Caenorhabditis elegans: one gene and its partners. The protein of the gene in region 1 purifies or fractionates together with the protein of each later gene. This does not show direct contact. Each region holds a gene or a part of one and is shown in the gene's direction. Other genes may lie near its edges. The genes, in order: mafr-1, sss-1 and F48C1.6.

Region 1 (3,418 bases):
AACCAGCTTTTGCTGAAAAAAAATGTGTCCCACGATTTTGAACGTCGCTCACTGTATCAATTTTCGAAATTCTTTTCTCTCTACATGAAACAATACTACGTCCATTTCAAGCTCTCAAAATCTAACAGCACAGTTTCAAATTCAAAAACACGAAATGATTGAGAAATAGAGATGCTCTTTTCAGATGGATTACTTTAATTCAATCTCTGCAGCTTTACTTAAACAACGCAGGTAGGAGGCAGATACTGTCGATCAGAGCGGAGCATTGAGCTTCACGTAGCCTGGCTGTCAAATTGTTTCAGTTGTCCATCCATGCACCATGTCTCCTCCGCCGTCGACACAGTAGGGTTTCCAGTCACTTCCAGCTACTTGTTCCAATCCACATCCTGACGTTAATTTCCAATCGATTCAGTTGTACTTCCTGAAATAAACACCAATATGACATTATTTGTAAATGTATTGAGGCAAGCCATCTACAAGCTTATGAGTTTAACAACAAACTTACAAAATAGCTCCCACTTTGGAGTTGTCTTCTTTTTCCTCTGTCTCCTCTATTTATCCTTTGAACGTTTCGTCTTGAGTAGTTTGTCCGGGGGGTTTTTGTGACATATGCCAGTATGAGTATCTGAAAAAAAAGGTTCATACTCTCAATACTCAAAAAGCTGTAAACTTTATGTTTTATAACATTTTAAAACATCAGATTTACACCTCTGACCCGCACTCACTTTAATATTCCGTTTGGTTGAAGTGAACTGGTTTCCAATTCACACACGACTGTAGGTAAATCGGCTCCATCGTCCGAGGTCCACTCGGAGGTTCCTTGCATACTCATATCTTCGTTCACAGCATCGGAATTGTTGAATTGGCATCATCTTCCCATCCTTCTTGGCAGACCATTTGTTGAAAAGTTGAAGACTGAACACTATGACTAAAACTACTTGCTCATATACCAGTCCTTATCAAGATGTACGTGGTCGTTCAAATAAAAATATTTTTTTAAATTGTTTTCCGTATACCGTATATCCTCTATTAGTAAGACGTGCAAAACTAATTTTCGGACACCTAATTTGATGCAAAACTAATAGAGGGTGCAAAACTAATTTTCAAACAGGTTTTTTCTCATGTTTCCCATTAAGTTATAGCAAATATCATCAATTTCAGTAACACCTTATGAACCAAAATGGACTAATTAATTCCACTAAATTCTTGTATTGAATATAAAACTTGTGAATCTCATTGCCTTTTGAAAATTTGATTTGAAACTTGTTAATTTTTTAATCTAAATATTCCTGATTCTGTCATAAATGGTCGTGTTATTTCGTTCTCTAGACCCCTGTGACATCAATTATTTGAAAATCTAGTTTTGACTATAGTTTTTAATTGCAAAACGACTTTCGAAGCGAAATTTAACAAATTTCATTTTACCCCCAAGGTATACGGTAGACAAGTACGCAAACACCAACAACAATATTGCACACATTACACAGAAGTTGCCGACAGTTTGCTAAATCAATGGGATTTTTTTACAGCAGTTTTTCCTTTCTTCACGATAAATCGTTCTGAAAAAGTAATTAAAATTGTTATTTTAGTGTAAAATTTAAAAATTAAATTATTGTTTTCAAAATGCGCGATTTTAAATATTGCAATCTTCATTACGTAGGATTTTTCCGCACTTGAATTCTCCAAATGTTCTCGAAATTTATTGAAAAGCTTTAGAAGCCATGAAGTTTCTGGAAAGCTCCGAAATGGATGTTTTTTCGCAGACACTCGTTACGGGAGCAATCGATTGTGTTATTGATTTCAAGTGAGTCATTTATCTCAATATTAAGAATAAAACAAATCGTTCAATTTCAGATTAGAAACGTATTCGTCGAAAATGGTTACTAGCGAAAAGAAACAATGGAAATCGAACGATAAATCTGTGATATGGGGTGAACGCCAGCCTCTAGGATCTTACGAGGAAATGGTGATGAGTGCATCGCCCAGTGTTGGTCACAATCATCGGCTTCGCCATTTATCGGAACGCTCGTGCTCAGGAGGATCAGACAACGATTTCGACGTGAATGACTACCTGATAAAAGACTCAATTTCGCGAAAGAAATTGTATGATCTGACTCAAGTTCTGAACTGTTCGTTTCCGGATCACGATTTCAGTAATGCCAACAGTGAAGCGTTTGCTCTCGTCAATTATTCGGTTAGTAGCTTCTTACAGCTAAATAACATTAACGCGCATGATTTTTCAGGACCTGAGCCGTCTCGTTGATATGAAGCTTGAGACAATTGTCAGAGACTATCACGTGAGAAGAGAAGAGCTATGGGGAATTATTGATGAGGCAATTGTGCCCGGTGACTGTCAAATATACAGGTATTCCGTTTGATTTGAGAGGATATTTTATATAATTTCCATATTTTTCAGCTTCAAGTCCCAATTCGAAGACGATCCGTTTACCGAAGACGGTTGCATTTGGGCACTTGCCTTCATTTTCTACAACAAAGGACTCAAACGTTTTGTTCTTCTCACAATTCGTTGCCTATCGAAACAAGCCGACACGTCCATCGAAATTTTCCCCGATTTCAGTGAAGACGAGGCGGAACCACAAGAGAAATAGAGTGCAGATTATTCATGTAGAACGCTTAGAATAGACTAATATTCAAGGCGATATAGTATTAGTCTTGCCGGCCAAGCCTCTTTCCCTCTTGTAGTTCTTCTCTTGTAAATAGATTCCATTTCTCATCAATCCTCAACCTCCTCCTTCACCTCTCGAGTTCGCATTTAATTTGCCACTTCCCACACACCTACCGCTAGATTAAAGGAACAAATACTTCGATTCTCATTCCTTTTCGTGGCTCGTAGATATCAATTTTCACAAAAACCGCATCATAAATACATAAAATTGTTTTTTTTAAGTTAATCAAAATCGATTATTTTTTGGTTTCAACCGTTCTGATATTTTAATCAATTTTTCCTCAAATTTATTTGGTTAAGTTCAGTTTAATTTATTTTCAGTGAAATAATGCCGAGCACATCAATGATCGAAGATCGTTCTGAGATCGAACGTCGGCGATTCGAATATCTCGATCATCCGGCAGATATTCAACTTCACTCTTGGGGATCCACAATGGAAGAAGCCTTCGAAGCATGCCTCGTATCAATGTTCGGCTATATGACGGATTTGGCCAAGGTTGATGAGGTAATTTGAAATTGAATTAGATCGCCTCTTGCGCCTTTTAAGAATTTTTCCACTTTCCTCTGTTTTGTCTAATTTTTCTTACTTCACTTGAAATATGCTTATGAACATATGAAATTGCAATTTAAATCGATATCTTGTAGAAATTTTAGCTTTTGTTCGTGTATTCTCTAGTTTTGAAGCTGCTCCCAGAAAAAAGCTCAATTTTTGCCTTCTTGACTTCATTTTCG
Region 2 (3,644 bases), on another chromosome or scaffold:
CTCGGTAGTGCTCATTATTTGATGACTTCACCTAAATAAGGCCTTTGTTTTGCTTCTGTTTCAAAAGAGCAGCATTTTTTTCAAAATGGATTCGCCAAAAAACCTGCATTTCAAAAACATTTATGCACCCTTAAAATAGTGTGAAAAATTGCAGATTTAGGCAGATCATTCTTGTTATTCAAGGCACTTCTTAAAGGGCGCGGCGAGACCACTTTGGAAAAACGCAGTTAATTTACGATATGTCCATCAGAAACCTCAGAAATTAACTGACTCACAATGCACACATTGCCACCGGAATGGAGAATACTGCGCACATCGCTAATTAACAGTTATCGAATACCTTAAACGCCATTCGAGATTCGTTCACTGACGTAATTGTGTGCGTGGAACTTCCTCCTGACGCTGGAAATGTGGCAGATGGAGGTTCGATGGTTAGCATGTTCAGTTGAGAAATGAAAATGATTGAAAATAAAATGAGTTTACTTTGTTTTGAAATTCGAATGTACCCACGTGGTCCAACGTTACAAAGTTGGCAAATTTCAGTGAACTTCTAGACAGTTTTATTAAAAAGCCATTTCGCATGTTAGTAGGAATTGCAACAAAAAATTTCTACAGGAAAGGATGTGGAGTCAATCGAATTTTATCTAGTAGAAATAATAGGATTCGTGAGCCCGGTTTGCTTCGATTAATTTGTGTACATTCTTTGTATACTTTCGAGACTTGGTTATATTTAAGCATGGAATTTAAGCCAGCTGATCAAGAGGAAGAGCTCAAGTGAGGCTACATTTTGTTTCAAAGAAAGAACAAGCATTCATAAAAAACTCTTTTATTTCACAAGGACTCTATGGGTTGTACTCAATTGGGAGGTTCTTACGACGAGCCATACCGTCTCCCTGGAACCATTCACGACGGAATTGCTTGGCAGCACCATCCGGGGTGTTGGTCCACTCAACAGTGATACGGTCGTTGTTGGTATCCTCTTGTCCGAAGGCGAAGGCATCGCAGGAAACAGCAAGAAGCACAGCTTCCTTTGGGTCGAGAACTCCACATGGTGGATCAACTCCAAGTCTCTTCATATTGGTGGTCTTGATACCATATCCAATACGCCGAGCCGATGAGTTGATCACCTTGATGTGGTAGGTGTGCTTGTCATCGTATGGAGCATTGAAGACGATCTTGGTACCCGGTTGAGTTTGGATGTCTCCTGGTGGGACGGATTGGGCCATGGTCGTTCGATGAAGGAGTTATGAGAACTCTATGAAGATTATGGCAAAATCTTCCAAATTTATAGCAGCCTTCTTATCTCTGCCCTAAATCTGGAAGTTCATCCAAAAATAGGAGATCACGTTGAAATTTGAAAAAAAATCAGTTTTAGCTAGTAGCTATTTTGAATAATTTCATCAATTTACACTTGTTCTGATACCTTTGAGTAACAAAGGAAACCTATTCGTTTTCTGTGAGATGCTAATTATTAATCTACTTGTTTTGTTTTTGTTTTTTGTCTAGAGGATAAGGAAATGAAGACTATTTATTAAACTAATTTTGATCTAGTACTACCTCTTCGTTTTCTGTGATATGCTACTTGTATTAAGCTACTTATATTGCTTTTTTCTTTTGCACTTAGGTGCAACAAAAATACTAAAATTGATCTAGTATTGCTTGATCTATTTTGATCTAGACCAGAAACGGTAACTTTCGGCAGTTCGGGTTGGGGCCACCTCCAACTCTATTGTAAGCAGACCAAGCAGGCTCACGATAAGATCAAGTTCTTCAATTTTCAGAAATTCTCGATTAATATTATAATTTTTTTGAACTTTTGGCTCATAAGGCAAACACTATACATACATATACAACGAATTTCAGCAATGAAAGGATACATTTATTTTTGAGAATATTGTCCAAAAAATGTCTTTGTCGCATTTTTTAAACCTTAAACCTTAAATCTTCAGGTGTTGCTATTTCCCAACTTTTGAAACATTATATCAGGTAATAAAATAAAAAGATTTCAATTCTAATTTTACGTGACCGTTTGTTCATTTTCTACGCTTAAACTTAGGCCATCAAGATAAGACTGATTATATACAAGCTTGAAATCATAAATCTACTTATTGCGAATTTCATCGCTCTACTAACCAACTACAATCAACTCTACTAACACTATGGTCAAGAAGATTACTGTCTACACTGCTTTTGGACAATTCCTCGAGATGATCGAGCGTCAAGCCGAACAGAGAAGGGAAACAGTTCCAGTCATTTGTCCGATCGTTGAAAAGGCTCAGCCAAGGACAGCTTTGAACAAGGTTTGTACAACGAGCTGGATTTTAAAACCAAGGGTCATATTTTAGGTTCAATCTTGCCCAGTTGTTCCAACAACTGCAAGAGTTACAGCGGAGATCAAGAAGAGCATTAGCTGCCCATTATTGGCTCTCCAAGCAGATCAACTGATTGAGGTGACCGTCTCCCCAGTCCCAACAACTACAGAATCAAAAAAGATCAATGAGGCTGCGGAGCTTATGGCCAATTTCTGGATGAGCTTTAATTGCCTTGATAACGAGAAAGAACAGATGGAATCGATTTTTGAGAAGATGAATGGATTGTTTGCTGCACCCTCCACAACATCTACGGCATCACTTTTCGGGAAGTACGAGGGATTTTTTGAGAAAACGGAGGTTGCTACGGAAGATATGAACACGTTTTTGTGGAATTCTCCAGCTCATCCATCTTTCCCACAACTTCCAGTTTTCGTCAAATCTCCAATCGACTCGATGAAAATATATGGAGCAGTTAATCATAAATTCGATATTTCTGAAGATGGTAAGTTTTTTTGAAAGTAGTTTTTTTTAAATATTTATTAATTCTAGAATCACTCCCATGCACGGCTCAATCTGTTTCATCTCCAATTTCTCCATCTTCTACCACCTCGGATTCTTCAAGTGAAACAATCATTCTTGGACCTGGACATCTTCTTCAGGAAGTCTACTTGCAGAGAATGGTCATTGAAGAACAGAAGAAGATCATTGATAGCTTTCATGAAATTCAGAAGCTCAACAAGAAACTGGCTGCTCTTCAAAATAACTTTACAGCTTGATCTTCTTGACAAATAAATACTTCCACTGACTTTTTGAATCTTGATCTTTTGGGAAAACACTAGCACATCAGAAATATTTTCCTGGATAGAATTTTACTCTGCCCTATGCTCTCTCTCTAAACCTCTCTCTATAACTCTCTCTCTATAAACCTTTTGCAACCTTGCTTGCAGAATCCTGTGTCTGCCAGGCAACCTACAATATCTGAAAAGCAAGGAAAGCAAAAGTAAAGTGGCCAATAAATTGCCGTCAACAATATGAAAAAGGTGTGGTGTATCCGTTTGGACAGGTTCATTCTAATTAGCTAGTTTCTAGAACCACCCTCTGGAAATATCTGAATTTTCCAGCTGTGATATGGTCGTTCCTCCATGAGACTTAGAATTCGCTCTCAATAAATTATAGATGTGTGTGGTTAGGGACATTATTAACAATATTGATCAGTGTCATGCCATTAACGAGAAGGGATTATCTGGAAAAGGAATCGAAACGGGGGGTTTTTTTAAAGCCAATTTTGGATAATTGATTGTTCTGTTGTGAATTAAACCTCTTCATCTTTTT
Region 3 (3,600 bases), 5.3 Mb from region 1:
CTATGGCTTCAAAAGAAAATCATAACAATTTCTGCAAAAAATGTATAAACTCCTGTTGAACTTTTTGTGAGACGAAGACAAACATTGAAAATATTTGCACTTTTTGTAGATTTTTTTTATTTTTTTTATTTTCAACAATAAGAAAATTCAACAAAATAACAAAACAAATTGAGAGAAATATGAGTTATTGACCGTAGAAAGTACGCTTGAACAGCATGCTGAAAATGAGCCAGATGCAGTGTAAGAGCAGAATAAGGAAACTCGACAAATTCAGACCATCGTCGTCGTTGAATTCATCAGCCAGGAACAAAGAGATGTATTCCCAAAGTGGTATCACTTTTTTAGAGACCCACATTCCAAAGTTGACGAATTCGGATTGTTCGGTTTCAGCGGAAATTACAATACAAGTAAATGGTCTTGCAACTCTCCAAGTTCTTGCCAATTTGAGAAGAATATGCTTCATCGGGTTATCAGTCCTGATGAGAATCTCGACGTCAGACGCGGAACTGGAAATAAATGTTGTATTATTCACATTTTTATGGAATTTTGCTTTAATTGCCCTAAAATATTTTTTTGTGCTGTTTGATATTATTTATCATTTTAATTCTTACATGATTCTGTTCTTGAAATGAGATGAGAATTGGGTAATAATTTCCTTGCTCATTGAAGTTAGCTGAAATCTCGTTCCAATTGCAGCATCTGTCTCGATCCATTTCTAAAATTCAACACATTTTTAAACACATTTATGGAATTTCGAAATATGTACATTTGCAATTTTCCAGATAATATCTTTACTCTGAACATCGCGAATTTGCAACAATGATGCGTTGGAAACCTGAAATCTAGGATGGTATAATTGAGTTTTTGTTCGAGTGAGCATACCGATTCTATACTTATCAGTTGATCTATTGGGAAATTTTTACATCCATGTCCGTCAAGATAAATCGACTTTGAAGTGTAATTGAGCTTATTGACAAAGAAAAATGCTTCTTGAAATTTCAGCAATACTCCACTGAAGCTTCTGATGCTCAATGACTTCGAATTGAGAGCATCTTGTAGAACTTTGCTCCAATCAATATTCAAAATTGTTTCAATCGAAAAATCATTGATAGTTGCATTTTTGAGAATGAAGACAAGCAGTGGGACGATTGTTTCATTAAATCGAAGACGGTTTCTCATATGGACCACACATTGTTCATGATTTCCAGATTTAATCGTGATTTTTTGAGTGTCGAAACTTGATTGAATAATTGTATTCATAGGATACGGCAAAAGACCTTCGATTCGAACCGAGTCGAGTTTGAAATTGTGTGAATCGACGAGGATCCTCTCGGTGCGTGAAACACTACGCATTATGAATCTGAAATGTATTTTTAATTATTATTTTTTCAATCATGTCAATTACCTTGTCTTAAAATCTAGATGTTTCATGCATTCCAGCTTTATCTCAGGTGGAAGCTTGTTCCAGTTCTCGAAGGACTCAAGCAGCTCGACTTTTGCAGTGCCAGAACAGTTTCCCATTATATATTTCTGGAAAACTATTTTTTAACAATTTTCTTTAACGATCGAATTAAAAATAAAATACTTCAATTTCAATTTTCGAACAAACTTTCGATTAAAATATTTGGTGGGTACGGTAGCCAATTTGGTCTGAAGGAGAGAGACTGTGGGGATAAGAGAGACGCAGCAACTCGTCTGCATTTGTTACGTGACGATGTTTGCAGAATTTGTCAATTTGTTTTTTCTCGAAATTTTTTGTTTCGATTTTACTTTTTTTCAATTAAAATTAAAGTGTTGCTTTTATTTATTTGTTTTAATGCTGTATTGACTTATTCACTTGTTATATTATTACGAAATTTGTCACAGAACTGCTTTTAAAACACCCTCTAACAAATGTTTCCGCGATAGAGCGAACTTTCACTCTTTTTAATGTTTCTGTTTTGTTTTCTCAAACCAATTTTATTACTTTTGATTGCAGAAATGTCTTCATCCGACGGTTTTATGTATTCTCAACCGACAGGAGATTCTTCTCAAAAGGTTGAGCTCAACAACGAACAGATTCATGCTTTGCTCAACAAACTCTCCAGTGACGAACAAAAGGAATTGACCGAAATGATGAGAACTTGCACCACGGAGGTATTTCATCTCAGTTTCATGTATTTTAATTCTTTTTCTTTTTCTAGGTTACAATGACACGTGGATTGCCGATAACTGGAGCAATTCTCGGCAGTTTGTATTTAGCTCGTACTCGCCTTCCCGCTCAATATCATTTTGGTCCCAAAGGATGGCCATTTTATGCTATAATGGGGATTGCGTATGTTTTTTAAACATTTTGTTGCTGAAATAATTTATTGATTTTTCAGTTCTCTCACTGCTTCAAATTTGATGTTCATGGGCACATGCCGAGATCGTATCAAGCCAAGAATTGATCAACTATGGAAAAAAGTAAATTCAATTGTTAATATATCTGATCAATGGCCAATTTCAGTACGACCTCGCCAAGTCATCGACAAACTACGAAGATATTCGCCGCCAAAATAGAGGAGCCGGCGTAGTTCCTTTAGTGCGAATTGATGGCGAAGCAGCAGCTCAGAGAGTTGAGGTAAAACATATTACTGAAAGCTGAAAAAAAGAAATTCTAATAATCAAACGTAAAATTTTCAGAATCCGAAACCAAATTCATATGATTACACGTACAGTGTTCCTTCTTCTGGCGATAATTCTTCCTACGACGGTTCATTCTCTTCATACAAGACAGAAATAGGAGAGACATCAGAATTCCAACAATCTCCACGAGCTCGCCGCCCATCTCCACCAATTCCTTCGCCATACGGTGTTGAAGATTCAGGATTCATGTCTGGAACACCTTCTGGACCGTCGTCAGACAGCAATCAGGGACAAGGATACACTTTTTCGTAGATTTAATTCATTTTCAATGGAATTGCTTACATAGATTTTATTTAGTGAAGTACACACATCGCCGGTTACATTTTTCTTGTTTTGTATCATAAATTATTTTGATTTTTTTTAAACATTTTTTTATTAGAAATTTTTTGGTTAATTCCAAAAATATACCTTTTGAGAATATATTGAAGATTTTTTTAATTTCCAAAATATTTATTTTCAGATTTTGATCTGAAAATGTCAAAATTCACGATTGGACCTTTACCGTGCAAGAATCCTGAGAGTTTTACGAAGTTGTCCGCAAAAAAAGATGTAAGTCAGGTTTAGTTAGTTTCTGGATATATTTAAATAATAAATTTCAGACAGTACGGAAAACTGAACCTGTCGAAGTGGTCTGTCGGAATGTTGAAGGCGAGAATAATGGAGAATGCTACAAAATAAAGGCACCAAAAACTCCATTCATTATCAATCATTTAGAGAAGAATTATATTCCGAAGGTAATTATTAAGTTTATTATAAAAATTTTTAATTTCATCGAATTTTCAGCCAAAAGAAACTACGAAAAAACGTCGAGCAGGCGAAGCTGGAGGTGTGAAGCGAGAACATTCAACGTCCGAATCCGATGATCAACTCGAGGATGCCAATCAGCCATCAACATCATCACAACAATCATCCTCACGGAAGAAGCAACGAAAT

Evidence for each region.
Region 2: the proteins of mafr-1 (region 1) and sss-1 purify together in Caenorhabditis elegans (affinity purification with western blotting, with the first as the bait; one study listed by BioGRID). This does not show direct contact.
Region 3: the proteins of mafr-1 (region 1) and F48C1.6 purify together in Caenorhabditis elegans (affinity purification with western blotting, with the first as the bait; one study listed by BioGRID). This does not show direct contact.

What each region holds. Positions count from the first base shown.
Region 1 is NC_003279.8:10,621,457-10,624,874, forward strand, and holds mafr-1 (Repressor of RNA polymerase III transcription MAF1), read left to right. Parts: upstream 1-1,716; 5' UTR 1,717-1,721; coding exon 1,722-1,804; intron 1,805-1,854; coding exon 1,855-2,194; intron 2,195-2,243; coding exon 2,244-2,365; intron 2,366-2,416; coding exon 2,417-2,609; 3' UTR 2,610-2,905; downstream 2,906-3,418. Other genes in the region: arch-1 (Protein archease-like), read left to right, coding at 3,015-3,191.
Region 2 is NC_003282.8:9,892,213-9,895,856, reverse strand, and holds sss-1 (Sperm-Specific family, class S), read left to right. Parts: upstream 1-2,107; 5' UTR 2,108-2,159; coding exon 2,160-2,300; intron 2,301-2,345; coding exon 2,346-2,814; intron 2,815-2,861; coding exon 2,862-3,088; 3' UTR 3,089-3,118; downstream 3,119-3,644. Other genes in the region: ssp-32 (Sperm-specific class P protein 32), read right to left, coding at 1-31, 341-439; msp-77 (Major sperm protein 77/79), read right to left, coding at 843-1,226.
Region 3 is NC_003279.8:5,317,652-5,321,251, reverse strand, and holds F48C1.6 (OCIA domain-containing protein), read left to right. Parts: upstream 1-1,950; 5' UTR 1,951-1,980; coding exon 1,981-2,136; intron 2,137-2,183; coding exon 2,184-2,314; intron 2,315-2,363; coding exon 2,364-2,445; intron 2,446-2,488; coding exon 2,489-2,602; intron 2,603-2,664; coding exon 2,665-2,919; 3' UTR 2,920-3,032; downstream 3,033-3,600. Other genes in the region: fbxa-145 (F-box domain-containing protein), read right to left, coding at 185-506, 612-715, 767-835, 883-1,360, 1,406-1,521; F48C1.5 (DET1- and DDB1-associated protein 1), read left to right, coding at 3,142-3,216, 3,267-3,401, 3,451-3,600.